2 linked regions of the Alligator mississippiensis genome follow. The protein of the gene in region 1 purifies or fractionates together with the protein of each later gene. This does not show direct contact. Links are inferred from orthologs where the notes say so. Each region holds a gene or a part of one and is shown on either strand. Other genes may lie near its edges. The genes, in order: TNS2 and CSK.

Region 1 (15,635 bases):
GTCACATTTGGGTCCAGGAAGGATTCCCCTCCCCCCCCCCCGGTCGGATTGGTGCGGACTGCATGGGTTTTGCCTTCCTCTGGGGTCTTTCGAGTGTATTCGAACACCCCTGGCAGCAGCAAGACATTCGCCTTGATTACCTGTGGCAGGTTCGGGTGTTACGTCTTGCAATCATGTCACATTTGCCTGTCGTTGTAGGAAGAGGTTAGATGATGGATGTGCGCACGGTTTGGATAGGGATGATCGGCCTCGGGCAGTGGGCTGGCTTAGGTGACCCCCAGAGGTCCCTTCCGGCCCCACTTCTCTGAATCTCTGTGTGTGATCCGAGTGCCCGAATATCAGTAAAACAGGGTCCCTCTGTGCCTCTAGGTTTCCCATCTCTAAAGTGGACACAGCACTTCCTAGCCCCTGCATGTGATCTCCCTGTTTATGCTCCCTATGTGTATAGGGCCCTGTTAGCCCCCTAGCCAGGTCTGCGCTGCAGCCTTCTGCCTATACATTTGCAAACCCTCCTCTCCCTCCCACCACAAATTGCACCCCTTTTCTGAGCGAAGAAGGCTTCTGCCATCCCCTGGCAGCCAGCAGCAGGTGGGTGCAGATGCTCCCTTGCCTCCTGGCAGCTGCATGCCTCACCCCGAGGGTGATTCAACTCAACACATGGCCTCATTAGCAGCAAGGCTGACCCTGGGCCTGGCACCCGGGAGCCATCCCACACTACCCTGGGTTGGCTCCTGTGCCCCCTGTGCAGGAAGTCTGAGCTGACAAGCTCCAGGCTTTGGGCTTCCTTGTTGCAGCAGGCTAACGTGCCCGGCCTTGTTACCTGTTTGAGGGGGAAACCAGCACCTTGGGGGCCTGGTTCAGTTCCACGTGTTGCCGGAGCAGCCAGCCCGCCCTGCCTGCCTGCCTGCACAATCGGTGCTCTGTGCTCACACCTGCGGCTTGGACACGGCAGGAGATCTGGCGGCCAAGTTCAATTCCACCCCCGTCCCAACGCAGAACAGGGCTCCTTTATTGGGCGTCTGCGCCTAAGCAGGCCAGTCCTGCCCCCCACCCCTGCTTTAAAGAGCAGCCCCTCTTGGAGGGCAGGAAGGGCACAGAGGTCTGAGACCTAGGGGGGTGGAGAAGGCAGCAGGGGACGGGCATGGAGCTTCCTGTCTCCGTCTGCAGCTTGGGTTTCCGGGCCCGCTAGGTCTGACCGTTCACAGCCGCTTGGTGGCAAAGCTGGGAACAGAACCCGGGTCCAGACAAAGGGAGTCAAGGCGCAGGCTTGAGGTGGGACCAGAGACTGCGCTGCTGCTCCCCTCACCAGCCTGGGGCTCAAAGGGCCCTTTGTTCAGGCGGGAGAAACCTGGCCGAGCGGCCTCCAGACATTCAGTGCCTTGTCTGAGCGGTGCGCTCCTGCGGCTGGAAGCCTGGACCAGCCGCCCCAGCCCCGGGACCTCTGCACAGGGAGCTTGGAGCAGCGGGGTTGTGGGCTGCCCAGGCTCGCAGCAGGGGAGGGTCTAGGGGATCCCTGGAGCATCCTGCATGGTACTTCTCTGTGCACTGCTCAGCTAATTCTTCCCAAACGCAAGGGCGTTAGGGGCTGGGTAGGAGGTCGATCCAGCCTGAGCAAGCGCAGCCAGGCTGGAGCCCCGCTCAGGTGCTGCTGGTCTGGGCCACAGCCAGGAATAGCAGTGGCTTTCTCCGTGCCGTCCTTCTGGGGTGCTCATTACACCTTAATGAAGCCTTGAAACTCTCCAGGCACCGGGAGGGACCTGAGCTGGGGCCTTGGGGCAGGCTTCTCTCTGCTTTCTCTCTCCTTGGCCCAGTGCACGGTGCTGTATACGTGCACAGCAGAGGAAAGGAGCTGCAGCTTCTCCGCCATATGGGTCTCCTGGTTTTGCCTTGAATGCGACCCGCGCGCTGCTGGTTTCTGGGCCTGGTTTGGGCGCGCTCTCAGCTCCGTGTTGGTGCTCCACACCCCCAATGCCACTGATCACCCCACAACAGGATGAGGCTACAGGGTTTTGCTCTGCTACGTGTCCAAGGGGCCCATGTCAAAGTGGGCAGGGGCTGCTGGCCAGTGGTCTAACCAATGGGCAAGACATTTTCTTTCTTCCCTCGGCTGGCAGTGTTTCCCCTCTGCTCCCAGCCATGTGGATCCGGATTGAGCCCGGCCTGCTTGGGCTGCTGCCTGCTCCCGGCCGGAGGTGGGGGCTCCGGTGCCCAGCCCAGATGTTGAAAGCTCCTTTGTTTGGCCATGACTCACATCTGCGCACGGCTGTGGTCACACACAGGATGTGGGGTCTGCGCCGCTCTCACGAGGCCAGTGGGACTCTGCCAAGCCTGGTCTCCATCCCCCTCCTTGCTGTCCTTCCAGGGACCAGGTGCCATAGGCGTTGTACAAACATAGAGGCCTAATGTTTGCTGCCAGAGAGCTGATCTTGCTAGCATCTTTTCTGTTTTTCAGGAGGCTCCTTGTCCACGAGGGTGCTCAAGCGGGCAGCCGCAGGGGGGGCATTTTGGGGTAGGGGCACCATCAGCTCAGGCCAGAGGGGCCTGGCTCGGAGGCCAGCCCCAGTGACTTGTCCTTCCCTGGGCTTCTTTCCTAGGCCCCTTGCGCAGGACTGAGAAGGATAGCATTTCTCCCTCCCGGGAGGTGCAATGGTGGATCAGACGCTGGGCTGAGCTGTGGTAGTCCTGGGTTCAATTCCCAGCCCTGCTCCTGGAGATGTTCTCCAGCTAGGCACGGATACACAGCCCTGTGGGGAGCAGCTCGGTGGTGGCCCGTGGGATCTGCACTGCAGGGAGCAGGGCCTAGGGCTGCTGACATGATGAATGCCTTCGAGCCAGAGGTCCTCTGCCAGCAGCCTGCACTGCTCTGAGTCTAAGCCTACCCTGTTTCCTTCCAGAAGAGGGACTGGATGAATTCACAGCTGATCGATCTACTGCTGGCTGTTGAACAACACAGCTGGAGATGTTTCCTCTGGCACCTCTGGGCCTATAATGTTGGATACCAGGGATGGTATTGAACAGGGGCAGATCACTCTGGATGTGCCTGGTTCAACGCTCTCCTTCTAGGCTATAGTATCCACTTCTTCTGCTGTCGGTGAAAGGATCCTGGCCTAGATGGACCATCTGTCTAACCCAGTCTGGTACTTCGTATATTCCTAGATAGAAGCATAAAATTGTAAAACAGGAGGGTTGGAAGGGACCTCAGTGAGTCGCATCTAACCAACCCCTGCTGGAAGCAGGACCAGCCCCAACTACATCATCCCAGCCAAGGCTTTGTCTACTCGGGTCTTAAAAACCTCCAAGGATGGAGACTCCACTACCTCTCTGGGTAACCTGTTCCAGTGCTTCACCACTCTCCTAGTGAGAGAGTTTTTCCTAATATCCAACCTAACCTTCCCTTGCTGCAACATGAGCTCATTGCTCCTTGTTCTGTCATCTGCCACCACCAAGAACAGTTCAGCTCCATCCTCTTTGCAACCCCCCCTGCAGGGAGTTGAAGGCTGCTATTAAATTTGCCCTCGGTCACCTCTTCTCTAGACTAAATAAGCCTGGTTCCCTCAGCCTCTCCTCATCAGTCATGTCCCCCGGCCCCCAAACCATTTTCATTGCCCTCCGCTGGACTCTCTCCAACTTGTCCATTGCCTTTCTGCAGTGTGGGACCTAAAACTGGACCCAGGACTCCAGATATGGCCTCACCAGTGCCAAATAGAGGGGAAGAATCATTTCCCTTGACCTGCTGGCAACACACCTACCAATGCAGCCCAGGATGCCATTAGCCTTGGCAACAAGGGCACACTGCTGGCTCATATTCAGCTTCCCACTGTCACCCCCAGGTCCTTTTCTGCAGAGCTGCTGCCCACCCAGTCAGCCCCCAGCCTGCACCGGTGCATGGGATTGCTCTGTCCTAAGTGCAGGACTTTGCACTTATCCTTGTTGAACTTCATGAGATTTGAGATTGCAGGGGGAAAAGCCAGTTTTCCTAAGACTGAGGCTAAAAGCACAGGGCTGGCTTATAGGCAGGCTCGGCTTGTCCTCGGGACAGTACGGTAGGCATGAGGGAGCTGCCAGTGTGCCTCCCCACTCCTGGCCCTCTGCCCTCTTGGCCCAGAGCCCCAGCGCCAGCAGGGCGGGCAAAGCCACGCGCCTGGATCCTGGTGCACGAGGCCTGGAAGGAGTGAGCTGGAGGCAGATCCTCCTGCTGGGAGGAAGCAGCTGGCGTGTTTGGGGTGCCCACTGGAAGCAGCCGGTCATCAGAGCCTCCTTCAGGACTCTGGCCTGCTGGGGAGTCCCTGCACAGCCTGGGGCCCTGTTGCACCAGGACAGCAAGGGAGGAGAGGGCCCCAGGAGCCAGGGAGGCGAGAAGGCAATGGGACAGAGCTGGGCAGCTCAGCAGGCCGCAAGCCTGGGCCCCTTGAGAAACAGCCCATGGCCAAGGCCAGCAGGCCGTCCCGGGGCTCCGAGTCCCCTGCTCCAGCCCAGGCAGCTGGCTCTAGGCGCGGGGATCGATACAAAGAGCCCTGCGCTCCCCGTACTGCTCGGACATCCAGCTGCGACCTCAGTGAATCCAGATGTGGGGCAGGAAGAGGATTCCCATTGTGCACAGAGGGATGACATCATCTCCCGAGTCCACCTGGAAGGTCCTGCAGGTCTAGTCAAGAAGCAAGGGGCGGTGATACCTGGCTCAAAGCGGTGATGTCCTAAATGGGAAGTGGCATCATCCCATTCACCTGCGGGCACCGCGGGGTTCCCACGGACGGCCAACGGTGCTGGATGATGGATATGATGTAACCGTCGGATGACAAAGCCCCCAGGATTCCTTCGGTGATGTCACACCATGGAGGGACGATGTCACTTGGCTCCACTTGTGATCTCGCTTCAGGGCAGAACAAACGAGGACCCCTGCGATTCCCCTGCCCACATGCTGGCATTGAGGCCTCAAGGAAGAAGGGCCCAGAGGGTTGTACAACATCCTCCAACAGCAGCACAAAGAAGGGGCTATTTTTAAGGCTGAACTTTGGATGATCTTGACCCCAACATCCCCCATCCCCCCCCAGCCCTGCCATCACCCCCAGCATTGCAGCCGTCACCCCAGTGCCCCCACCCTATCCATCCATGACGCAGCCGGGGTTGGGGCGTAGGCTCTGTGCCAGGGGACACTAGGGCCAGGCCCTGGCATGAACCTCTGAGGGAAAACTGGGGGCAATGAGTGACAAGCCCAAGGGGCCAGGGAAGGGCAGTGGCAGGGCTGGGGACAGCAGCCTAGCTTCCTATGTGCGCATGCATACATGCACGCACACATCAATGCACATGCACGCACACATAAAGACACATGCACACCACTCATGCACTTGCATACATGCCCATGGGCACACAAGAAGACAGGCAGGTACATGAGCACACATACATGCACACATGTGTGTGCACACGCACACGGACACACACACACACATCACCACAGAACAACACCGCAGCCGATGTGGGAGCGGGAATGTGTTTCTAATTATCCCCTTCCCGCCACTGGATTTAGGCTCTCCTCCCCCTTCCCGTCCACACCTCCTTCCGCCGGGGTCTGAACCCCCCGGGGCTGGGGCTCCCTCCCCATCACCCCCCAGTCCCGGGCTCCCTTCTCCACCTGCTCCAGGGGCCCGAGCCGGGTGAGATCCCGGCTCCTGCTGGCACTGCCAAGTTTGCTCTGGCACAGAGGGAACTATGATTAAGCCATGTGTGCGTGTGCGTGTACGTGTGCGTATGTGTGTGTGTGTATGTGTGCGCGCGCACGTGTGTGTGTGTGTATGCCAAAGCCAAGGGGGGGCTGTGGGGGAGTGGAGCAGGAGGTGGAGTTTGCAAGATCCAGAGGAAAAAAACAGTGCGGAGGAAGAAGGCAGCGTGGGGCTGCGTCCGCGGGGGAGACTGCATGGGCCGGGGGGCAGGCGCCCGCTGCTGGGACCGTGGCTGCTGTCAGGGGCCCCCAGCGCCCGGGACCCGCACGAGCCACGGCCGGATGCAGCTGCCCAAGGTGCGATGCCTGTGGGGTCGGGGCAGGGGGCAGGGAGCAGGCCAGGAGAGCCCCATGGTGGGCAGGGGCATGGGGGGTGGCAGGGCCAGAGCGGAGTATCGTGGGGGGGGTGATGGCAGGGGGGTCAGGGCCTGGCAGAAGATGTTTTGCAAACGGCGTCACAACCGGGCGCTGGAGCAGGGAGCTGGAGCCAGGCGCCGGGTGACAACCCTGCCAGCTCCCGCGCTCACTTAACCTCGCACTGCCCGGAGCCCTGGTGGCAGCCAGCTCCCGGAGCCTTCCTGACCCCGGCTCTCCCGCCCTGGAGCATGAGGATGGCACCCCCCTCCCCCAGGTGTGTTCCCGTGGAGATGCCCAATTGGGTGCCTGCCCATCATGACCCAGGAAGCATCCCAGCTGCTGGGGGGGCTCATCCTGGGGGTGCCCAGACAGGGCCTGCTCTGCCCCCCACCTCTCAGGCCTCCTCCGCAGCCCTGCCCCTGCCCCCCAGCAGCCTTGATCCCGAACCAGCACAGGAAACGCTTTACATTTTTTTCGGTTCAAGCCTGGTTCAGGGAGTCCCGAGGTCCGGGCGCAGCGTGAAAGGGCCCGGGGGCAGCAGGATGGGGCAAGGCTTCCCGGGCCCACGGCGCTGGCAGGCGGCAAGCGGGTTTTGGCAGAGGCGTCCACACCCAGAGCCAGCGGAGGGGTTGCCAGGACACGTGGGCCTGCACCCCCGTTCCCTGGCTGCCCCTGCTGTGGCTTCCTGGGACAGTGCCCAGGTGGCCGGATGGCGAGCTCTGTGTGGCACGCAGTGCCGGGCACTGGGCCCCCTGGGCGGGGAAGGGGGTCCCTTGGGCTGCAGCTGGATCTGCGCAGGGGGCGGGAGCTGTGCCACCTCCTGGGTTTATTGCTGTTGGGGCCTGCTAGAGCACACCCCTGCCCTGCCCACTGAGGGGTTAATGAAGCCTCCTGCAATTAGCCAAAGGTAATTAAAGTAATTCTGTGGTGCAATGGGCCAAATGCCACCACCAAGCGGGGGAGCAGGAGAGTGGGGGGGCCGAGTCTTGCCAGAGCCGAGCCGCCCAGGCCTGCAGCTTCCTGGGCCGTGGGTTCGAATCCCGCACAGCTGCTCCAGTGTCGGGTGCAGGGCGCTGGGTTCTGGGGTCCCCAGCTCCCGGGGGGGGGGGTCGTAGCCCAGCTGAGACCGGACAGACTCGTCACACCGGGGACCCTCCTTGCCCAGCCCCAGGGATTTAAAACCCAGGAGTCCTGCCTCCCCCACGCCCCCAAGGCCAGGCCACAGGGGGGCGCCCCCAGAGCTCTCCATCCCCCATGGAGAATTTGCCCCTGAGGGGGGCAGATCCTGCCCCCAGGCCTGGGGTGGGAGAGGTGCCAGCAAGGTGCTGCAGGGGGGCAGGATGGAGCCCCCCGCCCAGCTGAGCACTGTCCTATTAACCCTTTCAGCTCGGGGGTGGGGGGCCAGGCAGACCTCTGACATTAACCCTTTCTTGCTCCTGGCTGCCCCGCCCCACGCAGAGGGGGTTAACCCTTTCTGTGCCCCAGGGCTGGGACTGGGAGGGAGGGGCACCCCTGGGATTAACCCTTTCCGCTCTGTGGGGGGGCACGAACCCCTCCTGGTACCCCAGTAGCTGGGCTGGGGGTGCCCCCCCTCGCCCCCAGGTTAACCCCTTCAGCTCTGCAGGGAGACTCCCACCCCTTGGAGATTAACCCCTTCTGCTCATTGGAGGGGGGGGTGTCTCAGACCTTAACCGCCCCCCCCCCCACCCCGCATTAACCCTTTCAGCCCTGGGGGGGTCTAAAACCTCAACCCCCCCCTCCAGATGATCCCCCTCTGATCCCCAGGGTTTAACCCCTTCTGCCCGGGGATCCCAGGGCTCTCCCCGATTAACCCCTTCTGCCCCGGAGCCGGGCGACCCACCCCCTGGCCCGGGCTTAACCCCTTGTGCCCCGGGGCGGAGGGGGCGGGCTGCCCCCTCATTAACCCCTGGCGCTCCGGGCGGAGCAGCCGCGGCCCCGCCCCGCAGGAAGCCGGCCCGGGGCGGGGGTGAGGGCGGCGGCCGCGGACCCGGAGCCGGCGCCGGAGCCATGAAGGTACCGCGGGGCCGATCCGGAGTCGCTCCGCGCTCCGTTTCCACGCCGGGGCGGGGCAGGCACAGCCGCGGGGCGGGGGGGAGGCTCCCGCCAGCCCATAATAACCCCGGTGCTTCCAGGCGTTGCCGTGGAGACCCCTCCCCCCCGGGCTGGGCGCTGCTGCGGCCGTGGGAACGGGGCCGCTCCGGATTGGACCGGGAGGGGGGGGGTTCGTGTGACAGGGCAGTCGTGCAACACGGTCTCGTGTGACAAGGCTCATGTGCCAGGGCGTCGTGCAAGGGTCTTGTGTGACAGCACTCGTGCAACAGGCTCATGTGACAGGGTCTCGTGTGGCGGCACTCGTGCGACGGGCTCGTGTGCCAGGGCGTCGCGCAATGGGCTTTCATGGGACGGCACTTGTGCAACAGGCTTGTGACAGGGTCTCGTGCAACAGGGCCTCGAGTGGCGGCCCTCGTGCGACGGGCTCGTGTGGCGGCACTCGTGTGACGGGCTCGTGTGGCGGCACTCGTGTGACGGGCTCGTGTGCCAGGGCGTCGCGCAATGGGCTTTCATGGGACGGCACTTGTGCAACAGGCTTGTGACAGGGTCTCGTGCAACAGGGTCTCGAGTGGCGGCCCTCGTGCAACGGGCTCGTGTGACAGGGTCTGGTGCGATGGCACTCGCGCGATGGTCTCGTACCACGGGGCGCTCGTGCGGCAGGGCCTTGTAGGACAGGGGCCTCGTGCAACAGGCCTGGAGGGACAGGGGCTTGCACGCGGCAGCCCCAGGGGGCCGGGGGCTGCACTGCCCGGGACCCCCTGCGGAGGCCTGGCCCTGGCTCCAGAAGAGGGGCGGGAGCTGGGAGAGGCTAGGCTGCTTTTCTAGCCCTGAGCAGGGGGGAGTCACTGCAGGGGGAAGCACAGCCCGAATATTAGCAGCATTACGGTGCCCCAGGACCCGCCCTGGGATGTGGGGGGCCACAGCAGGGACCTCGCCCTGGCCCCCCAGGCTGGCTGGAGCGGGCTGCTCTGCTCCTGGGGGGCCTGGGGTGCTCTGTAGGGGTGCATGGGCTGGGGGCTCAAGGATGGCCCCGGGGGTGCGAGCCGTGGTTGTGCAGCTCCTGGCGCGCAGCGGGGTGCCCCAGACCCCCGGAGGTTCCCGGCCTGTATCCACCCCTCGGATCGGAGCCAGAGCAGGGGCTGGGGCCAGGCCTGGTGCGGGGCGGGGGCACCAAGTGCCTGGAAAGTCCCTGGCCCAGGCAAGGCGCGTCCCAGCCCGAGGTCCTGGCGAGGACACGGAGGAGGACAGGGAGGCAGCAAAGCAGGGGCCAGGTTGGGGGCAGGCAGGGAATGTGTGTGTGTGGGGGGGGGGGCACGTGTGCGTGCCCAAGTGCGGGGGCTGTGTGTGTTTGGAGCTGGGGGAGGCTGCGTGTGTCACAGCAGGTGTGTGGGAGGCCGTATGGGGCAGCGCTGCATGCGATGCGGCCACACACGTGTGCAGGTCCGGGCCAGCTTGCACGTGTGGTGGCTGCCTGCACACATGTGCATGTGCACACGTCCTTGTGCCCCCCTGTGCACCGGCCTCTCCCTGCTGAGAGCTGATGTCAGCGCGCGCGGCCAGCCCCCACCCTGCCCCGTCCCTGGCAGGCCCCGGCGCTGACGCCAACCCGAGGTCCAGCCCCGGGAGTGGGCCGGAGCCGAGCTGCATCCTGCCTGGCTCAGGGCCGATGCTGGCGGTGTCATCGGTGTCACGAACCCCTCAGGGCTCAGCCTGCCCTCTCCCCTGGCTCCTCGGGCTCCCTTGGCCTGCCTGGGTCCCCTGTGGGGCATGCAGCCTGCCTGGGCCAGCCCCAGGCCACTGCAGACCCCGGACCCTGGCAGGCCCTGGGCCATGGCAATGACCTCAGCACCACGGGAAGGAGCTATTGTGCGTCAGGAAGCCCCGTCCTGCCGCAGGCCGGCCCTGCCTCATTGTTTCCAGCTGCACGTCCGATCCCACGGGCAAGCAGGCGCTGGCCAGCAGGACCCCGCTCCTGTGCTGACAGGGCGAGGGGCTGCCCAGGCCAGCCACAGTCGGGCCATGAAGCCGCGGGACACGCTGGACGTGCTGTTTCGGGTGCTGGGGCGGAGGGGCAGTGCCCGGGCGCCAGGCACGTGCAGGGTAGGTGTGACCCCCGCCCAGCTCTGCTCGGGGAGGGTCAGAGTTTCCCCTGGGAGCAGGGGTGGTCCAGGACAGCGGACCCCTGGGGATCTGGGGGCCAGGCGCAGAGTGGGTCCCCGTGGGAGGTGCCAGGGATGGGTCTGACCCGGTTCCCAGGCTCGGCTGGACTAGAGGGGCCATGTGCCCTTGTCCCAGACTCACTGCACAGTGCCGAGCGCGAGGGGCTCCTGCCAAGTGACTTGGGAGCTGCCTCTGAGTGCCAAGGCTGTACCTGGGGGTGGGGGCAGAGGGGTGGGAGTCGAGCCTCTGTCCTGCCCAGGTGTGCAATGAGCTACCTAATCTCAGCCCAGGTCCTGGCTCTGCATGCGTGTGTGCGCGTGCATGCATGTCTTCATGCCTGTGCCTGGGTATGTGCACAGCATGTGTATGTCTGCACGTGTCACATCTGTGCAGGGGCATGCACTTCTGCCTGCATGCATGTGCATGCCTGCATGCATGTTTGTATGCATCTGTGTGCACATCTGCATGTCTACCCATGTCTGCCTGCCTGTGTCTGTGCGTGCATGTGCATCTGCATGTGCACAGGTGTGTGTGCATGTGTGGGTGCGCATGCCTACGTGTGTGTGTGTACATCTGTGTGTGTGCGTGTGCATCTGCGTGCATGTGTGTGTGAGCATGTTTGTGTGCATGTATGTCTGTATACATGTATGTGTCTGTGCGAGTGCATGTCTGCATCTGAGCCAGGGCAGGAGAACCCAGGAGTAAAATCCCCCATGGGGGTCCCATGTGCAGTGTGTGAGGCAGGGCAGGGCCTGGCGGGCTCGGGGCTGACTCGTGCCTGCAGCAGGCAGGGCAGAGGGTGCAGAGAGCAGAGGAGAGGATGCCCAGGTGCCCTCAGTGCCCGCACTCGGCCCCAGCCTGTCCCCTCTCGCTTCCTGCACTGGGAACACAGCGTCCAGCTGTCAGGGAGACTCCCATCCCGCTGTCACGGGGGCGTGGGAACAGCCCCCGCCCTGCCCGGGCCATGCTGAGGTCTCCGGGCCAGCACGGGGCTGGCGTTGACCAGGTTGGCATCTCCCCCATTGCTGCCCGCCCCATCCCTTCTCTTGCCCTTTCCATCCCACCCTCCGTATCTCTGCCCACTTTCCTCTCTCCCACAACCCCCCCCCCGCCATTTCCCCAGCTGCCAGCTCAGCCCCTCACAGGGGTCCCAGAGCAGGAGCCCCCCATGTCATGGCCCAGCTGGCAGGGGCGGGCACGGTGCCTGGGGCACGCGCACAATAGCGGGCACTGACACGCCGCGGTGGGACGGAGCCAGTGAGTAAACATGTTGTTCTGCTGCCCGGGCCTAGCCGTGGGAGGGGGGGGCGGGCACTGGCAAGGGCTGTGCCATGGCGCAGATTCCTGGGACTCCAATGGCAGGACTCAACCCCAGCCCGGCCGGCTCCTGGAGCCCCCCTGGCACACCAGGGCACAAGGCGCCAGCCCCCTCCCCGTTCGGGATGCCGGTAAGAGGTGAGGCGAGGCGGGAGCTGCACTCTGTCCGCCAGCCGTGGCCGGGGCTCAGGGCCCTGCTTGCCTGGCTCGCCTGTGCATGCAAGGGGAGTGTGCAAGGGCAGGTGCCAGAGGGGCATGTGCATGCATAAGGCATCGGTGTGTACTCAGGAGAGCGAGCGTGTCCACACTTGTGCGCACTGGTGCATGCGTGCATGGCACCTTTACTTCAGGGGTGGGTGTGAGTTCATGTGTGCACCGGGCTCCCCGTGGCCCGGCTGTTCCACTGTGGCTGGCCGTGCCCCGGCTTGGGAGGGCTGAGGCTGTCCCAGCCCATCACCGGGGTGTCAGGTCTGGGACTGGGGGGGCTCCCTGCTGTTGGCAGCCCCCCACTTCCATCCTCAGCCCCCCGCCCCGCGCCCCAATCCTGCCCTGCAGCACAGATACTCGTGTTCTCCGCCGGCTGCAACAAAGGGACCGATTCATGGCTATTTATAGCTGGGCCGGCGCGTGAAAGGCGCCCATTCAGCCTGGCCCAGACAGGGCAGCTTTCACTGCCGAGGCCCCTGCCCCAGACTACATCTCCCAGGAGCCCCCTCCTTGCCGGGTGTCCCCAGGCCCTGCCTTATTCATTCCAGGTGTGGATGGAAGTTGGGGGACGCGGGTCCTGGCTGGAGCCCTTGCCCCAACGCTGGCCGTGAGCGTGGCTAGCAGAGCGGGGGCCTGGCTAGCAGGCAATGTGGGTCTGGGGGCAGCGTCATGGGGGCACAACCCTAGCTGGTTCCTCATACCCTAGGCGATGTGTTCAGGAGAGGGGTCATGCCCAGGGTCACCCGGCAGGTCAGTGCCAGAGCTGAGGATAAAACCCAGGCGTCCGGGCCCGACCGCAGCCCCAGGCCTGCTGCATCAGGCCCCAGACAGGGGGGCATGCATGGGCTGGGGGAGGCTGCAATGGGAACGCCGGCATTTGCCCCCCCTCCCGCGGCTGGAATGCGGCGGCGTTTCCGGTGGGACAGCTGGGGCGATGCGGGGTAATCGGAGCCGCCGCGGGCCTGGGAATGCGGCTGGGGGGAGGCCTGTCGTGAGTGCTGGCTCTGTGCACGGTGCCCAGGCAGGGCCGGGACCCAGCACCCCACGGCACCAGCCCAGCCACGTCTCTGCTCCGCAGCCAGGGAAGGGGCCAGAGCCGCACAGCTTCCGCGAGAAGGTGTTCAAGAAGAAGCACCGGGCCTGCGCCGCCTGCAAGGAGCCCGTCGAGGCCCAGGGGCTGATCTGCAAAGGTAATACGGGAGTGGGGGGTGCCGGGGAGCTGGTTGACCCCCTGCTCCCAGAGCATCACCCCCACCCAGGCACCGCGGCCCCTGACCCCCTTCTCTGCCCGCAGTGTGTAAGATTGCCAGCCACCGGAAATGCGAAGCCAAGGTAAGAGCCTGGTGGGGGGGGCCCAGTTGGCCTGTGTCCCTTGACAGGAGACAGAGCCAACCCGCCCAGTCCAGCCCAGTTGGCACGTGGCTCTAGGGATGGACTGTGCTGGGGCTGGCTGGGGGAGGAGAGAGGATGGACCGTGTCCCCTGCCCCCCCCAACTTCCTCTGCCTTCCCCGTGACCCGGGCTCTTATCTCTGCTGGGAGGCAAGGAGAGCAGGGGTCCCGGATGCTCCCAGGGGACCTGGGCTGAGGATGTGCAGAGACAGGCAGAGGGGCTCATGGGGAGTGGGGGGGGAGGGGGCAGCCTGCAAGGGCACTGCTGCGGGGAAGCTTGCAGCCTGGCCAGTTCAGCAGGAGGGAAGCCAGGGCCCCGGCCCAGGCTCCTCTGGCCCTTTAAGCCCTGGCAGATGGTTGTGTAAGGCTGGGTTTGCCTTGGCCCCGGGCCAGGGCTGCAGCTACAGCAGGCCCCAGGCTCAGTGCTGTCCGTCGGCCAGCCGGCGTGCAGGGCAGGGACGGGCACAGGGCTTGCTCGCGGTGCCAGGAGCCCAGAGAGCAAGTGTCCTGCTGCCCCCAGGTAACGCAGCGGGATGGATGCCACAGCCCCCCCACAGCCGCTGTTCCCAGCTCCCCCCATAGGGGGCAGCATGGGGGTGGGGGGGGTTATCGGGGGTGGGGCACATACCTGTGTGCACGCGCGTGTGTCTCCATTGCATGTGAGATGGGAGAGAAAGCGAGGGAGTGAGGGAAAGAGGAGAGGAGGAAAGGGACGGGGTCCTGGGCTGGTACCGGGTGGGCAGCGGTGCCCATGGGTGCTGCTGCAGGGCAGGACATGGCCCCAAGGAGCTCTCTGGGTGCCGGGTGCTGGGTCCCTGCAATGGGACATGGTGCTGAGAGCAGAGGGAGCCAGGGGAGCATCAGCCAGGACTCCTGGGGTCCCCCCGGAGAGGGAGCAAGGGCTGCTGGGGAGATGGGGAGGCCTTGAAGCCAGGACTCCTGGGTTTCCCCCGGGCACGATGAAGAGGGGTCAGTGGCTCGACCAGCCGGCCGGGGCCGGGGCCTCCTGGGTCCTGGTCCAAGCTCTGAGACAGAGCGGGGTCTAATGGTGGTTGCATCCTGCCTCAGTTTCCCCAGGTGGGCAGCAGAGCCTGGCAGTGCCCCCTGCCCCGTGCCTCGGTTTTCCCCTCCTCGGGTGGCCATTGACGCCTTTCCCTGGTGGTTCTGGCTTCCCGCATCCCCCGCCCCCAGCTGCTCCAGATGTTTTCCCAGGCCCTGGCTGGGCGCCGGAAGCTGGGAGGAGGCTGCTCTGTATCTCAGGGCTGGGGGCTTTGGGAGGGGGAGGGCCCGTTGGCAGCAGCCAGAAGGGGCTGGAGGGGCAGATCGAGATGGGGGGCACCGGCAGGAGCAGAGCAGTGCGGGGCGGGGCATCTGGGGGAGTGGCGATGTCATCTTTGCATATGCAAATCAACTCCCACTGACTGGGGGGGCAGCCCTGTCCCCCCACCCTGGCCTGGCGCTGCCCCCTGCCGTGGGGTGCCATCGGGGTGCCCAGGCCAGGAGCGAGGCTAGCTGCCGGAGCAGGGGGCCGGGGTCCCCCTGGGGGGCTGAGTCGAAGGGGGGTCACCGCAGCAGTGGTGGGCAGGGGTCCGGGCTGAATGGCCCCAGTGTGCGTGTGTATGTGTGTGCATGTCTGGGCGCGGCCTGTTTGTGTTGCTCTATATATAACCCCCCCCCACCCGCCGTGAATCACGGCCTCTGTGTGCTCGTGCGGGAAGGGGCCAAGGAAAACAGCCCCAGCCCCCCGCCGGGGCCGCCTCCTGCCCCGTCACGCTGGCGTCACGGCCGGGGGGCCGGGCTGGCACTCAGGGGCGCCTGGGCTGGTGCTGACCCCGTCCCTTCTGCTCCCAGGTGACATCGTCCTGCCAGCCGGCGCCCCCTCCTGAGCTGGTGAGTGCGGGGCATTAATGTGGCGGGGAGTCTCGGGGTTCCCCGAAGCCCACAGCTGGTACCAGGGGGTCCGGAGGAGCAGGGGCTCGTGCAGCTCAGGGCATTGCAGGGCCCAGCAGGATTGAGGCTGCGGGGCGGGGGGATCGCTAGCATGCGGCAGCTGCCTCCACCTTCATGCTCCTGGACAGGCAGGGGTCAGGAAGGAGCCCCCGCCTCTGCCTGGGGCCCCTCGCCGTCCCCCACAGCTGCACCCTCCTGGCTGCAGAGCCAGGAGCTAAGGGAGCCGGGTGTCCAGCTCCCAGGATGCGGGGGTCCCGGCCCATCCCCCTCCCCTGCTCCGACACATCCGTGCAGCCGTCAAGGGAGGGATACGGGCTCCAGCTGCTGACCCAGGGCCGCTGGCTGCGCGCCCGGCCTGGCTGCTCCGGGATCTGGCTCCATCCCCCCTCTCCTCTCTCCCTCTTTCCCACACGCCAGAGGAGGAACACGGCTCCGACGCGGCGCATCGAGCACTTGGTGAGTCCC
Region 2 (15,712 bases), on another chromosome or scaffold:
TTCAGGTGTGGCCAGTGCCTGCATCAGACAAGTATTTGGATATAAAGCAGAACTGGCTGAGGGTTGGTGTAGGGAAAACAGAAATGAGGTTAGAAGTTTTCTGAGGAAATGGTAGTAGCGCTGGTTTCTTGTGTGTCCTGATGCCCAAAGTGATACGTAGTCTTGATATCTTACCTACTATTAGTCCACAGTCAGTTTCAGTTGTGAAAATACATAGTGTATATATAGTATAGCTTGCTAATTGCCATAATATCTAGGTGCTGCCAGACCAGACTCATCAGATGTTTTGATTGTATGTTGGATCCCTTCCTACCCCCTGCTTTGCTTTTAGGGCATGGATTGTAACATGGTTGCAAGGAGCCCAGCACATTGGGTTTATAGATTGGGTTAAACTGTGTTGAAGGCAATGGGTATTCTCAGACCCATAACCTTTGTGTAACCAGGCAGCTGAAACCACAGAAACACCCCCACCCCAGAAAATATGCATGGGATAAAACTGGACTCAAAGGTGAACTGTATGGCCCAAGAAGTTTCCTTAGGGGTAGATACAGCAAATGCAGGCACTGGTGTGTCTGGGTATTTCTGAGAGAAGCAGCAGCATAGACTGAGAAGCTGTAAGAGAAGGAAGTGCCAGCCACAGCTACAGGCCTAGTTGATATATAAGGTTAACATCCGTGGAGCAATGGTTAGTCTCTCCCTTGTTATTAGACAGGGCTACTGGGTATATGTCAATTGATTGACAACTAAAAAGAAAATGGGGACAGGAGCAAGGTCACAGGCTAGGAGCCAATGGACTCTGCCCTGTGAAGCTCTGCCCAGAGACGTGAAAGGACCAGGGACAGGACGACCATCCTGCAGTCCACAGAAGTCCCCAGGGGCCAGAGCCTCCTTCCTGGTCAGGTAGATTGCTAGCATGGCTAGGCCTAGTTACAGGTAGTTTGACCCTAAAAAAGAGGCATAAGAGCGAGATCCTTTGGGGCATGAGAGAGAGATCCTGTCTGCCAGAGGTACAGAGCTATGAGCAAAGAAACTGCCTCCTGTTACTTGAGTCTCTGGTGGTTGAGGGAAACACTGTTCTGTGCAGTCGTTGTAAACAACCAAGACTGCACACGATTCCTGATTCCATCCTCACTTTCTCCAGCTAACTGGAGAGACTTTGGAGGCCCAAAAGTTGGCTGAAAGCAGAGCCCATGATGCTTGATGGCCACTTGCCCAAATCTCCACTTTTCTACCTCCCAGCCAGCTCCGAGCCTTTGCTTCTTCCTTTCAGAGGCAGACCCGTGTCTTTGGCACCTCCAACCTCAACCAGAAGCAAGAGCTGGATGCTGAGGGTGTCTCACCACTGCCCTCCAACTCTCTCATCCACTCCCAAGTTTCTAGATCAGGGCTTTAAGTTTTGAAAGCCCCGGTAGAGGGGTAGGAGGGCCTGCTTCGGATCCCCTAGCACAGCTGCTGCCACTGAAGGGGTCCGGAAAGTAGGCTGCACCCCCGCCTAAGAGGCTGAGCCCCGAGGTGCTGCGCCCTTTAGCCCAGCGGAGCGCCCTCCCGCCACCGCGGTGCCCCGGGAAGCCCAGCAGGTGGCGCGATCTCTCTGCCCACGCCTCGGCCAGGGATGGGGTCGAGCCCAGGCGGCGCAGGCGCGCTGCTCCGGGCGGACGGATCCGGGCTCCGCTTCCTTCCACCAGGCCCTGCGAGCTCCCCGCTGAGCCCGGTAGGGAGCGGGCGGCCGCGGGCACAGAGCGAGCGCCAGCCCCGCGCCCGTCGCCCCGCCTCGCCTCGCCCCCGTGAGGAGCAGGCAGAGCCCCCCCTTTCCCCCGGGCCTCCCCTGCCCAGGCCGGCAGGGGCCCGAGCAGGCGCGGCTGGAACGCGGCGAGCCCGAACGTTCGGAGATCGAAAGCTCTGGGTGTTCCGCAGCGTTCGAATTTGGAACCCTCGCTGTGGGCGCTGCTACATTGTTTCCTCTTCCTCCTCCTCCTCCCCGATCCCTCCCTTCCCCGATCCCTCCCGCCCTGGGCCCCGCTACCCCCCAGCCCTGCTTCTACCCCACCCCTTTGTACCTCTCGCTTCCACCCCCGGCCCAGCAGTGCCCAGGCCCCCTTGTCCCACCCCGCCGCATGGAATACCCGGCAAGTGGCCGAGCCCCACGCTGAGCAGCCGGCTCCCCGGCGTGGAAGCCAAGCCAAAGACAGATCGGAGCCTGGAGAGAGGTGAGTGCTCCCGCCTGCCCCCCTCTGACCCCTCAGTACTCGCACACTTCGGGGAGGGAAGGGAGTGGTTACTACAGGGGCCCAGGCTGCGTCCTGCCCTCCCCCTTCCACAGCTTTTCAGTGTGATCTGGGCTTGGGCAGACTCCAGGATCCCAGCTCTCCCTCCTTGCCATCTTCCTGGTGGGTGGGTGCCACCCTTGGGTGTCCCTTAGGCACCCTCTGCTCGCAGAGTAAGGGAGGGAAGGGTCTGACTCCAGCTCAGCCTGGGGAGAGCCATCGGGCACTTTGCGGGAACCTTGCAGGGGATGCATACGGGCACTTCCTGCTCCCCAGTCCCAGGGGACCGTCTGCTGGGGGCAGGCTCAGTGCTGGTATCGATGAACCAGCACAGCCTTGTCCCTGTGACCAAGTGGGGAAGCAGAGAGAGAAAAGACTTCTTACATGGTGTGTGGGTTTCCAGAGCACGTCCATCGCTCTCCTACTTGGCCTAGGCCTGTGAGCTCTCCCTCCCCCACGCCCACCCCCACCCCAGAATCTCATTTCCTTGTGTGATCAGACTGGGGTGTGCTGAGAAAGTGGACTCTGAATGAGCGAGCTTCCCTCTCTGCCTTGCCCTGGATATAGCATGAGGCCTGGGGTGGATTTGAGTTACCAGTTTCCTGTTTTATACCTCCCCCAAATAAGCCAAGAGGTGCCCAGCTGGAGGGTTGGGAGAAGGGAGAGGAGCTGGCTTGCACACAGGCTCTGGACTAGGTCCCTCCCGCCTTGTTCCTCCTTGGCAGACAGGCATGTTCCTGAAGGATGGCTCTCAGAGCTGTGGCAGCCCAGGGTGAGATGACAGCAGCTGAAACAATGGGGACTCCATCATCCCTGCCCAGACCATTGCTGCCTCTCCTTCTGCAAGGAGCTGACAGGTTCATAGAGCACAGCCCGTCCTCCTCTGAGATTTGTGTGCTCAGGGCTCTGGCTGACGGTCCACAGCCCAGGGATCAAGCGTGCAGGAACTCATGGCTGTAGTGTAATACGTATTGGCTTAGTCTGGATGATACACTGCTGCTGTCACCTCCCATGCATTTCATTGTAGGCAGACAGCCGGGCTACAGCCAGTATTAGCCTTTCAGCTCCGCATTGTGGAAAACAACCAAGCTATTGAATGCTGAGAGTTTGGATTTTTGCCCCTCCACCTCCCTCCCCTCTTGACAATAAGTGAGTCATATTGCTGTGAGCTGGCTGGGGGACAAGCAGAAGGTCTGGGTTACGGCCTTTGGTTTGAGATCAGGGCAGCCACCACAAAGGAGCCATTACCGGACGTTGCCCGGATGGGTGAGTGTGGTGGTGCTGCCATTTTTGAAGCTGCGGTTATGGGTTTGGTGGGATCTGTGAGACTATTTACTTTTTTTATTTATTTTTTTTAAACATCCAGTGGTTCTTTAGTGCGTAGCGGAGGTGAGCAGGAGGGGTGACTTGACAAGGTGTTTAAACGTCCGGTGAAAACTTAGGAACATTGACTTTCGCTCTGTTACTTTATGTCTACAGACTTCTGCTCTCTTACATTGAGAATAAAAGGAGCTGTGTCCTCCCGCAGCGTTTTGCTGGCCCGTGGAATTCCAGGCTGTTTGGCAGGAAATCAAATAGCCAAATGGTGCGGTTGGAATGAAATGGGCCGGATAACTGTGTGACCTTGGTGGTTTGGGGTGGCTCAGGCAGAGGAAGAATTGACCCTCGGGCTTCAGGGCATAGGCAGGGGTCAGGAAGGAATTTTTCCATGTTCCACCCCTACGGTACATGTGCTGGTGTGGAGAATTGGTGTGGAGCCTTGGCTATGCTGGCGGACAGGTACCAGGGGTACCATGCTCCATGGAACCAGCAGTTGCCTCCAGCCTATTTCTCTTTTCAGGTTTCCCATTGTTCACTCCAGCAAAGGTTTACACCTTTGCTGATTGGGCTGGTGCTTCAAAGCATGGAATTCACCCTCATCCCCATGCAAGCTTGTTCATTTTAATTCAGGCCTTTTATTTCATTCTCTTTTGTTTGCTTTCTTCTAGTGCTGGGTCCCTTTGGAGTTGCCAGGGCCTCCAGGTAGATGCAAGGGACTGCCGGTCTATGACCCTTTTAATACAGAGGGAACTCTGGAAAAATGTTGAGTGTGCAGTGGGACACAACACTCGCCCCAGGATGGTTTATTCAGGGTTGATCCTGCCTTGAGCAGGGGGCTGGAGTAGATGGCCTGGTGAGGTCCCTTCCCTGCTTTTGTGTGACTCTTTCTCGGAGGTGTTCTTGGCTCTGGAGTTGAAAAGAGAGAAAAATCCCATCCACCTTTAAAATTCAATGGGGTGTGAGGAAATCTGAGGGAACAAGTGGTCTTAGTTCAGGAGAATAGCTACTGACCCCTTGGCTGGTGATTGGTAAGGCCAAAGGTGGCCTGGCCCCCTCCGTCTGATCCCTGATGACTGTGGGTTGCAGGGGGCAACTTTCCCAGCTGTTGCCTATTTTTCCTCCACCTGATGACTTTGGTGGAGCTGCCCCTGCCTGCCCCATGGCTGTATTTTGTTCTGTGTGTGTGTGGTTCTGTGTATGTGTTTAAGGTTTTCAAATCTAGCTGCTCTGGGGGGTTCCCCCAGACAATCAGCACAGGGTGCAGGGCTGAGTCTGTGGCTGGCCTCTTTTCCCCTCTGTAACAATTTCCCATCAGTGCTACTACTCGTTCAGCACCACTGCCCTGTAGCGAAGGGGGTAGGAAGACTAGAATAGTAATGGTTGCAGCTGGCAATAACTGTCTAACCCAGTGGTTCTCAACTTTGGTAGACTCAAAACACCCTTCAATCAGACTTGAGGACCCCCTCAGAAAATGGCAGCTCTTGGCTTTCACTCATTTCTTGAATGTGGAAAAATGCTTCCTCAGCCTGATGAAGGGTGTCTTGCTAAGAAGAATTTTTTCCAACTATTTGAGTTGGTCTAATAAAAGATATTGGATTTACCCAAAGAACCTTGTCTGAAAAATACCAGAGCAGTTCTTCTGTTGCAAGGGACTCGGAAAGCCCACGGCAGGGAGGAACGGCTTTGACACCCTGGATCCCTGTTTGAAACCTCTGGGTTTATCTTGTGAATCTTGTGTAGGTGTTCACACACCTAAGGGTGCTAATATGGCACAGCATCCCACAGCACCCTTGAAAAGATCTCATGGCACCCCAGAGTACTGCAGCACCGTGGCTGAGAATCGCTGATCTAACCCATTTGGGGCAGATCCATATGGCTAAAACTCAAGCTGTGATACTGCTTTTGTAGTTGCTGTCATTCATACAGTTCTGGAGATGGCAGGGGTGGGGGGGGGGAGTGTTTGGGGGGCGGAAAAGCATAGGGTAAACAGTAAAGGAAGTGAATCTTTCTTATCTGTGTAAACTGTCAACCTTCACTGCTTCCCTCTATGGTGAAACTCGCTGTCCCAGCACGTGTGAAGCTCAGTTACTGTTCTCTCGCATGGTAAAGCTGGGGATAAAAGAAAATAAGATGACCCAAGCTGTTTGGAACCCGATGGGGCTGGCTTATCCCACGAAACAAAGAGACCGTCTTGTCTGTCTGCCCCCGTTGTATTGCAGATCACGTCAGAGCCCGAGTTCTGTTGTGCGCGGCAGTCCCCTGTCGGTGCTGGCTGAGTCGAAGGCACAGTTTCAGTTCAGTTTGCTCAGCTCTCTTTGGCTGGGTTGCAAAGCTTTTAAACCTCAGAGGTAGCCTGCCTGCAGTTTGGGCCTCCGTTTGACTGAATTGCAAAGCTGAAGCGAAACCAGTGGAAGATACTTTTGGCCTGATTTACAAGAACGGGGCATTTGCGAGATTTCATTCAAGTAATTTCCCAGGCAGTGCCCTTCAACTGGTCCTCGCACTGCACACGGACTAGACTTACGGAGTTGGACGCATGGTGCTAGCCTACATTTGGGGGGAAGGAAGGATAGATGTTGACACTGGTTATACTGGTGTGATCCTTTAGTGGAGAAATAGCAACCCTGTGCCAATCATGGCTTGGGATGTTGTGATTTTGGGGTTGGTTGGTTAGAACCTGCCTGAACCCCAGGCCTGAGCTGAGGTGCATAGATTAGCTAAAAATATACCAGAGGAAAAAAAAATCAGGTGTAGGTGGGCTGAGTTTAAAGCACCTGTCCCAGAATAGTTCCTGTTATTATAGGCATCCAATAACATCAGCTTTCTGCCAAATTTTCTTTCTCCTTGCGGAAAAAGTCCTTTCCACGAGACCAAGACCCTGACTAGAAAAGAGAGGGGCATCAAAACCCACTGTATATTTCCCGCGCTGTGAAACTCGCACAGCCCAACCGATCAAGCAAAAACATTCTTCTTTTGTTTTTTCTTTTTTTCTTTCAGTTATGGTAATTGTGGGCATTGCGTGTTATGGCAGCAGATACAATCTTTTGCTGTGCGTTGAGGCTTTTTTTTCTAAGTTCAGTTTCATTTCATTCAGGAAGGGGAAATATAAGTTGAGCATTAGGAAATGTCTGATATTGGGATCTGGTCACTTAGGGTTAGATCACCCCAGGTGTTAAGTAGGGTGGGTTATCAGGAATATTCATAGGGTCCAGGTCTTGACTGCTAAGCTTTTTGTCTAGAATGGGGTGGGGGGGGTCGTCTAACAACTGGCCTGCAGGGTTTCTGGAGGGGCAGGGAATAGGGCTGGGGGATGAGTGAGGGTAGGGCCCGTTGCTGAGTTCTGGGGTACGGAGCCCAATTGGGGATGTGTGAGAGTGGCTGTGGGGTGAATGATGGCTGCATTAACCCTTGCTCTGCTTCTGGGGGTGGGTCCAGATCTGGCCTGTCATCCTGATCCTCCCCGGGGAAGGGGGCAGGCAACCTTGGCAGCCCTGGTTTACAAGGAAGGCTTCTGTCTTCTGGGAAGGACCTGTCATATCTGAGTGCTGCCTCCTTGCCTCTGAGGGCAGAGACCACTCCGGTGCAGCTGCAGCTCCCAACCTGGCCCAGCAGCAGAATGAAACCCAGGAGACTTTGATCAGTTTTAGTCCTCCTTGTAGAGGCAGGAAAGGTGTGAAACCCAGTAGACTTTCCCTTGTGGGAGGGTGACCTTTAAGCAGCAGCAGAAACCAGTCCTAGGCCTGCTTGCTGCATGGGAGGATTTGAACAGTGGAGTGGGGATGGCAGGTGGGCAGAAGATGTGGGCACTTTCATTAGAGCTGCCAAGGTACGGGGGCAGGTCAGCATGTACCCAGCCATCAAGAGAGTGAGGAGGCCTGGAGCCACAAGGATAGTCGCTCCTTCCAGCCAACAGCTGCGGACAAGCCGAGTGGGGGATACAAAGGATGAGGCCCTGTATAATTGAGGCATCAGCTAGCAGGGTGAAGAGCGACAGACATCAGTGCTTTCTCCCTGGCTTGGGTGAGGGGTCACCTCTGATCACTCCATTTCCCACTTCAGTCTGCTTCGAGCAGGGGCCAGGGACAGCCTCTGCATAGGAATTCCCACGCATCCCCTCTCCCCAGCTGCTGGGAGTGGGAGCAGGATTTCTCTCTTGTTGGTAGGACTTCTTTCCCAACCCACGGCTAGCAGGTCAGATCTGCTGGCTAGTTGATGGTTGCTGAGTTTTTTTCAGGCCTGGCTGTATCTTGTGGAATGGGCTGTGGTTGGGAGTGGGTGACGCGGCCATCGGAGAAGTAGAATCTACGGTCGTAGCCACTGCCGGACAGTTGTGAATCAGCCGAGGGGCGGACTAGGGATAATCCAGTGGGATTTGTCCGGTGGCTTTAAAAAAACAAAACCAAACTGGCAGAAACAGTGCTACATTCACCCACTGTCAAAGCATCTTGTGCTCTGCCTGCCTCCCCTCCCTCCTATAGAGGGAGATCAGCTCCAGGGGAGGTCCCTACAGACCCGGGAGCTAGGCTGCCTAGGGAGCCTACGCTATGATTTCCTTATTGTGTGCAGCAAAGTTGTGAACTGGGTTTGAAATGAAAATGCACTGTTTCCCATGCGCACGCCCCCCCACCCTCCCTGCCGCTCCTCCGCACTCCCTGCCCTTGCGGTGGGGTTAGGAATCGATAGCATCTGGCCGCCAAGCGCACAGGCGGATGGACCGGAGCGACTGTGCTCTCAGCTCCCGGTGATTGCAACCTCAGCTCTTGGTGCAGGATTTTCCTTTTGCATCAGGCACTGTGGGGGTTTTTTCCCCCCTTCTTCCCCCCTCCGTCCCCCTCTCTGACTGGAGGAACTGCAGGAGATGAAAGAGAAGCGGGGATCTCTCAGTGGAGCCCGGCAGCCACCGTCTCACTGATTCCTTTGCTTCTCTGCTCTCCTGTTATGTAACCAAAGATGCTTCTCAGCTTCTGCTCTGGTCTTGTAAGTTTTTCTTTCCCTCTCTTTCTTCCTCCCCACTGTATCCCCCCCATACCACCTCCCCCCTGGCCCTGACCCACCTTGGAAAGGCATAAATAACTAAGACTGGCTGAAAGGCTGCTGGCTGGGCCCCGTGCTGCAGAGGCTCAGCACTGCATGGTTAGGATCTGCTCCAGTCCTCTGCCTGGTGCGATGGCGTTTGGCCCAGGCAGCCTTCATGCCACCGTAGATCCCAGCAGCCTCCACCATTGTAGAGAAAGGCTCTGTTATAGCCTGTGGCTTCAATGGCTGTGCAGGTCAGTCGGTGGTGGTGGTTGCGGGGGTGGATCCCTGGTCTCTCTGCTGCAGGCAGTGATGAGGAGGAGTGTAGGGGAGAGTGTGTGTGTGTGCTGGGGGCAGGGGTGGCCAGTTTTGAGGGGGATGGAGGGTTGGGCTTGTCACTTGGGTTACCCCCCACCCCACCCGCCAGCAATCACAGGGTTCACATCTGCTGTGCTGTGGGATGAAGAAGCAGGTGCAGGGTGACGAGGGAGATCGGACCAGCTGTGGGATGGGATCTGTGGGGGTGACTATGATTCCTCCTGGTTCTGATGTGTGGGGGAACATGCTGAGCAGGGCATCTGGCTGAGCAGCTGGCTAAGCCTTGGGTTTGAAACTCCTGTCGCCCGAGTCTCCTTTGCATTAAGGCTGAGGCTCCTGCCCAAGCCTCGCGGCTTCTGCTCGCTCGGACCCTCCCTCTTTGTTTCCAGAGTCAGGTCGATGAGAATTGAGTCCAGAGACCCCCCCTCCATTGACTGGCAGTCAGGAATTGCAGCCGGTTGCGCTCGTCCACTTTCCCCTCGGTTGGATATGCAAGTTCCGTGAGGCTCGGCTCTGTGGTCAGTCTTGGCGGCTGTGGTCCAGTCTGTGCTGCAGTGATGGGAGAAATCCTCCTGGCATGATGGAAACATCAGGCTGGCTTGATTGTGCTTGGCTGCCTTTCCTTCCTTCCTCCCCTAGGCCAGCTGGGCTTAGACTGGCGGTTGCCTTCCTCCCCAGAAATGGCTGCACTTGAGTGGTATTGCATGTGTACAGGTTGCAAGCATGGTTTCAAGTTCCCCTCTGTAGGCACCATCTTTGGAAATACAGTGGAAAGGGGCTGCACCTTCCCCCTTGATCCACAGAAGGTTTTCGCCAGTTAGTGAGGGGGATGTTTTAAATAACCTTCCTCACCTGCCACCTAGCCCTAAACTCTACCTCCCCACCTCCCCCCCACTCTACAAGCCTTGGCAAGGAAGCCTTCCAGCATGCCACTAATTCAGGCTCCAGTAGAGCAAGTGAGGAGCAAGCCCCAGGGTTGAGGTTTCTCCTAGAGTGTCCCAGCTTTGTCAGATAGCAGTCAGCAGCTGGGAGAGAGCTGTGATTTCATAGGGAACCAGGTCCTGAAGCGTAAAGCTTTGCATTGGTGCCTTGAGTTTATGGGAAAGTAGGGCTGGAAGGGACCTTGTGAGGTCACCTCGTCCAGCCCCCTGCTCGAGACAGGATCATCTTTGAGTTTCACCTGGATGTGTGTCGGCAGGTGGGGGCATCTCTCGGAGCAGGGCAGTGGTGTGCTCCTGACGTGTGGCTCCCCCCGGGAATCCCCCTGCGGCACTGTGTGCTAATCTCAGCATGCAGCAGCGCTGGGAGCTTCCGTTGCTGCCAGGTGACAGAGGCATAGGTGACTGTGGCAAGGTCCTTACAGTGGAGAGGAGAGGCTGCCCCCTTCCTCCAGGCACCCGTAGGAATCACACTCTTGACCTAAGGGCACCCCAGCCTGGTACAGGACAGCCCCTGCGACCCTGGAGATAGTAACAGCAATTGTAGAAATAAGCAGCTTTTATATGTCGACTGTGGCTCTTCAGGCTGTGAACTCTGAGCCTCCAAAATAAGCAGGCCATTGTTTTTGAAAGCTTGCACATCTCTGATTTAGTTAGCTTATTGCAGGGGCGGCCAACCTGTGACACAGGCAGTGTTTGTGGATTTGCCCCTCACAAAAGCAAGGCATCTGTGCGGGGGGTATCTTGCTGCAGTACAATTTCATTGTATTGAGTTCAGCAGAGCCGTTGGGGAATCGCTTGTGATCTGGTGTTCTTGGCTGCATCCAAAAGCCCAGCGAAGCCAGCGGGCATCTTTCTGCTGACATCCCTGGGTGTTGGACCAGTTGCCCTGGAGCAAGTAATGGAATAAATCAGGTAGGGACCTAGCCCAATGATTGCAGGCTTCAGACCCACTGGAGAAGCTGGTAGGATGCTGGAGAATCAAAGTCCTATTCCTGGACCGTTTGCATCCATAGTGATGACCTGTGGCTGCTTAGCAGGGGAGGTGGGAGGAACCACGGAAGCTGCCTGTGTTCATGGACAGCACAGACCCCTCCCCCTTTCCTAGGCCATCTGCCCATGTTAAGGCTGAAGTCAGCTTCCCACGTTAAGCCTATTCCCACCCACATGCAAGAGAATCTGCTCCCATCTCTCTCTCAAGGCCGGCAGCAGCGTCCATGTCAGAAATGCCACTCTCTGGCCTCCTCCCTGGCCCTCTCTGCAGGCCGGACCTCCAGACATGTGGGCAGAGGGGAGGACTCCACACTACGCCTTTTCTGTGTTGCCTTTGCCCTACAGGCAGTTAACCTTTCAGGATCCACTAGCTTGGAGGGGGGAAGGGGAGGGGATCAGCTGCCTCTGGTATTGATTCGGTCTCGGCTCTGACACGAGGGTCAGTAGATTTGTGCCAGGGCCGTTATCTGCGGGTTCTAACCGCTCATCGTCTCCCAGGATGGGCGAGGAACCACAGCTGGCAAAGAGCCTCTGGCCCAGCCCGGTTGATCACTTCTTCCCCACTCCCCTTCCCCCACCCTTGTCTGTATTTCCTCCTGAAACAGCTCGTGGCTGGAGCTTGCCTCCTCTCCAGCCAAAGCAGGCACATTTTGAGGGGGAGGAGCCTATGACATGAACTGTGGGCTCCCAGAGGGACCCATCCAAAAATAGCAGGGCTTGATCCCTTTTCCCCTACTTCCCTGGCCTCAGAGAGGGCATTTCATCCAGAGATGTTTGCTGAGCTGCATCAGAGCGCCTGTGACTTCTCCGTGAGCCTGGCTTGCTGATGGGGAAGTGGCACTCGGCGGCATCACAGCAGAAGAGATATGACCTCTTAGTGCAATGGATGGGTATGGTCAGGGTGTCGGAGGAGGCAATGGGCAACTGGGGTCTGGCCCAGCAAAGGAATTTGGGTGCCACTTCCTGACCCCCGGCTGAGGAGAGCCAGGACTGGCTTCCTTCCTCTCCTTTCCCATGTGAGTTTGGTCTGTGCTGGAGATAAACTTGGATTTTATTAGTGGAGGGCAGGACCAGGTGGCTGGTGATGGGTGGCCCCTTCTGTTCCTGTCCTCTGGACCCTTTCCTTATTGTCACAGTCATCATCACAGTCCACTGATGTGTGCTCCCCTGACCCCACTCCTTTCTCCCCCTGTAATTCGGAGCCACTGGTATGAACTACAAATTGCTGAGTAACAATTGAAAGTCAAACTACAACTTAAAAATAACCCTCAGGGAGGAAGAGCCCATCTAAAAAATATGGAAGAGGAGGAAAGGGGGATTTCCAGAGCATTGGCCACGGCTGTGTCTAGCTGCAGCTGTGTCAGTTGGGTTGCAGTCCTATCAGCACCCATGAGTTAAGGAGAATCGGTTGGGAGACCGTCAGGGAAAGTGCAGGTACATCAGGTGGTCTTTTACTGAGGCAGTTCCTTAGCAGGTTCATAAGGGGCACTGTACCACAAGAGACGCTGTCTGCTGGCCAGAAACTAGGTTTTGACTTGCTAAGATTCCTTTGGATTCTGTTGGAAGCCTGGGAGTACGACACTTCGCCTTCCTGAATTTATCCCTCCTGTTAGAGATGGTTTTACTCCTTCCTTCTCCTATCTCGTTAACAGGGGCACAGGAGCAGAAAGTAAAGGACAACACGTATTTCACCCCAGAGTGGGCCACATTTCAGCATGGCCAAAGCCATCCCTGTATCTTTGCCACCGGCAAAGCACATTACGAGTCTGCAGGGCAAGAGAGCATTTGATGAGGGTTGCAAGCTGTTAATGTCACTCGTCCCCAGCAAGTGATGCATAAAGAAGAGTTTATTCAATACATTTCTCCATCTCATCTGTTCACAGCATGTCAGCAGACAGATCCCAATTGTTCTTGCATTTAGCTAGAAGTGAATCCATGGGCATAATAGAGTCGATCTATTCCCTGGCTGGCTGTTTGAACTGATCATTCAGTAGCCACATGCATAGCTGGGTTTCCTGGTTGGATATATCCTGTGTGTGTTTGCCTGGCTTCGGGTTTGCTTTTTGCAAGCGTTTATGCTCATGCACTTCAATCGCTGCTGTGATGAGGGAAAGGGAATACAAAAGATGTGCGAATGCGGCTGGAGGCAATTCATTAAAAAAAGAAATATATGGCTGTGATGACCTTGATTGTAACGCTCCTCAGTTATATGCAAACACCATGGATATTAGTGGGGAGAAGCTCTGAGATGCATTAGCCCTTATTGCAGGGGTAGTACACCTGCAGCATGTGTGCCACAAGTGGCATGGGCAGCCTCCGTGTGTGGCATATGGCAGATCAGGGAGGACAGGGACCAGAAAGCAGAGCAGCAGATCAGGCCTGCAAAGGGGATCAGTGTGGCTGTTGGGCAGGGTGTGGAGCTTAATTTGTGGCACATCAAATAAGTTGGCTCCCTGCTGCCTTATTGCTTGATCTGAAGGAGTAAGTCTTTGTTCCTTGCTCACAGCAGGTATGGTGACTCTGAAAGGGGGATTCTCCTGTATACACCAATGTGGCTGTATCATTAAGTAGGGTGGATGCATCTCATTAGTTCAGTCTGGGCTGTTTTATTGAGATGTTCATTGAGATTTGGTTTTAAATCAGGGATGTTAACATATCCAGCCTCATGGGCTGAATGGGGGGTATGGGTCTGGTCTGTACTGGGGCCTGCACACTGGTCCAGCATAGACACCTCATGCAGTGCATGCCCTAGACAAGCCCTGGCCCTGTGGTGCATGTGCAGAGCTGGCACGGGGCGGGCACCACATGAGGAGCCCGTGCTGGACTGGCCCTGAGCGTAGGCTCCAGTGCCTAGGGATGATGTGTAGGCCCAATCTAGTCTGGCTTCAGAGCGGGCTTTCAAGGCTGGTCTGGCACAGGTGCTATATACAGTGCATGCCCCAAACTGTCATGGACACCACCCATGGTGCTGGTTCTAGTCCCATGCATGGTTTGCAGCCTGTGCCACCCTAGCCTCATGAGCCATATCTTTGACACCCTTAGTTTTAATGAATTTTAATTGCTTATTGCTGAGTCTTTGCTGTGCATGTCTTGTGTTAGACTGTCTGGTTTCCTAATGGTGAGCAAATTGTCAGCATTCATACTGAGAATGGTTTCTTTTACTGCTTTGTCACATCCTCTGTTTAGCTGAATGCCTTTGGGAAGCATGGCTGGAAAGCCATTGGGATCGCTGAATTCTTTGGGATGAGGGAGACAGATACAAGTAACTGCGTCAAACCTCAAGGTAGAGGCACACTGTTGGCTTAAATCAGGGGTGTCAAAGATGTGTTCAGGGGTCCAGAAGAGGCTGGGAATTCAGAGGCAGGGCCCAACACCAAATTCCAGGACATGGAGCCCCATTTGCAACATGCTTCAGTGACAGCATGGCAAGCAATGGCAGCGTCTCTGTCACAGTGGCTTAGACACCTGTGGCAGTTCACATCCCTGCTGCTCACCCCTGGGTCTGGATACGGCCTACAAGGAGTCCTGCAGTCTGCACCCCTAACCCCCTACCCATGCAAGTAATACCTGTGGCTTAATTTAAAGCTTGCAAGAGAGCAGCATGTAATACCAGTGGTCTCTGACTGCAGAGTAGGGATACGCTGATGCATTAACTAAAGTCTTGGAGGAGAATGGTTTTCTGCAGAAAACCGACACTTCCAAGGGTGTACAGATAAGCTGCCATTCAGATCTCATGTTGTTCACCTAACCGAGACTTGGCCAAATGAAGATGTACCACAAAAAGCTTCTGCGCGCTGTTGTGCTCATCTGTGCTAGAGAAGCCAAGTTCTGGGTGCCCTCCATCCCCTTGCTATGAAAAAACAGCAGAGTGGAAGGCAGTGCTGATAAGCAACTAGCTGGAGCTCTGTTTGCAGCAATGGCACAGCTGATGCGTCAGACTTCCACACCACCAGGAAGTAACCTGCTGTAGATAGGCTGACTTAGGGTTTGCAGCTGGAGGGTGATCAGACTCTCAGCTTTTGGAAACTTTTGAAGACCCTGTCCTCTAGGTCGGGGGTTCGCAACCTTTTACCTGAATTAATGCAGCTCAGTGCTAAGGCGGGTCATTGCTAATGACCCAGTCACCACCACTGCCATCGATTCGCCTTTCCCCACCTTTGTAGCCCATTAAAACCTCTTTGCAGACCAAATCTGGCCTGTGGGTCAGAGGTTGCAGCCCCTGCTCTAGATCAGTGGTTCTCGACCTCTTTTGTACCAGGACCCATTTGCAAACATTGATGGCTGGTCCCAAACCAGTGCCCCTCACTCCCAACCTGTTGCCCCCTGCCCCCAGGCCTCAGCCCAACAGTGTATGAGGCAGAGGGTAGGTGTGTAGGGCAGGGTGGGGGTGTGTGTAGGGTATGGGTGGCTCCAAGCAGCTGCTTGCAGGCTGTAACTCTGCCAACCTGCAAGAGAAAAAGCCAGTTCCCCACATTTTTCTCCTTCAAAGGAAAATCCTATTTTAAAGTTTGTTCGTGACCCTTTCATATATATATTCTTGTGACCCATGGATTGAGAAATGCTGCTCTAGATGACTAAATAAGGGTTTAAGACAGTGATTCTCAACCTGGGTGCCACAAGATCCTTCAACAAGTGCCATGGGGTGCCATGCAATAATAGCACTGTGTGGTGTGCAAACAGCTAAATGCGATTTGCAAGATAAATCCAGAGATTTCAAATCGGAAACTCGGGTTATAAAAAACAGTCTGCCCTATTGGGTGTCTCCGAGTCCTTTGCAATAGAAGAATTGCTCTAGCATTTTTTCTGTAGTCAAAAAGTGAGTGAAAGCTCAGAATTGGCATTTTGCAAGGGGATACCTTGAGT

What was found.
Region 2: the proteins of TNS2 (region 1) and CSK purify together in Homo sapiens (affinity purification with mass spectrometry; 6 studies listed by BioGRID and IntAct, with this or other methods). This does not show direct contact. The link is inferred for Alligator mississippiensis from reciprocal best matches to the Homo sapiens genes TNS2 and CSK.

The regions. Positions count from the first base shown.
Region 1 is NC_081838.1:9,350,179-9,365,813, reverse strand, and holds the start of TNS2 (tensin-2), read left to right. Parts: upstream 1-9,526; 5' UTR 9,527-9,913; coding exon 9,914-10,246; intron 10,247-12,908; coding exon 12,909-13,020; intron 13,021-13,124; coding exon 13,125-13,162; intron 13,163-13,636; exon of another isoform or gene 13,637-13,740; intron 13,741-15,071; coding exon 15,072-15,110; intron 15,111-15,587; coding exon 15,588-15,626; intron 15,627-15,635. UniProt on the Homo sapiens protein: Tyrosine-protein phosphatase which regulates cell motility, proliferation and muscle-response to insulin. Phosphatase activity is mediated by binding to phosphatidylinositol-3,4,5-triphosphate (PtdIns(3,4,5)P3) via the SH2 domain.
Region 2 is NC_081834.1:41,570,371-41,586,082, reverse strand, and holds the start of CSK (tyrosine-protein kinase CSK), read left to right. Parts: upstream 1-8,519; 5' UTR 8,520-8,534; coding exon 8,535-8,561; intron 8,562-15,712. UniProt on the Homo sapiens protein: Non-receptor tyrosine-protein kinase that plays an important role in the regulation of cell growth, differentiation, migration and immune response.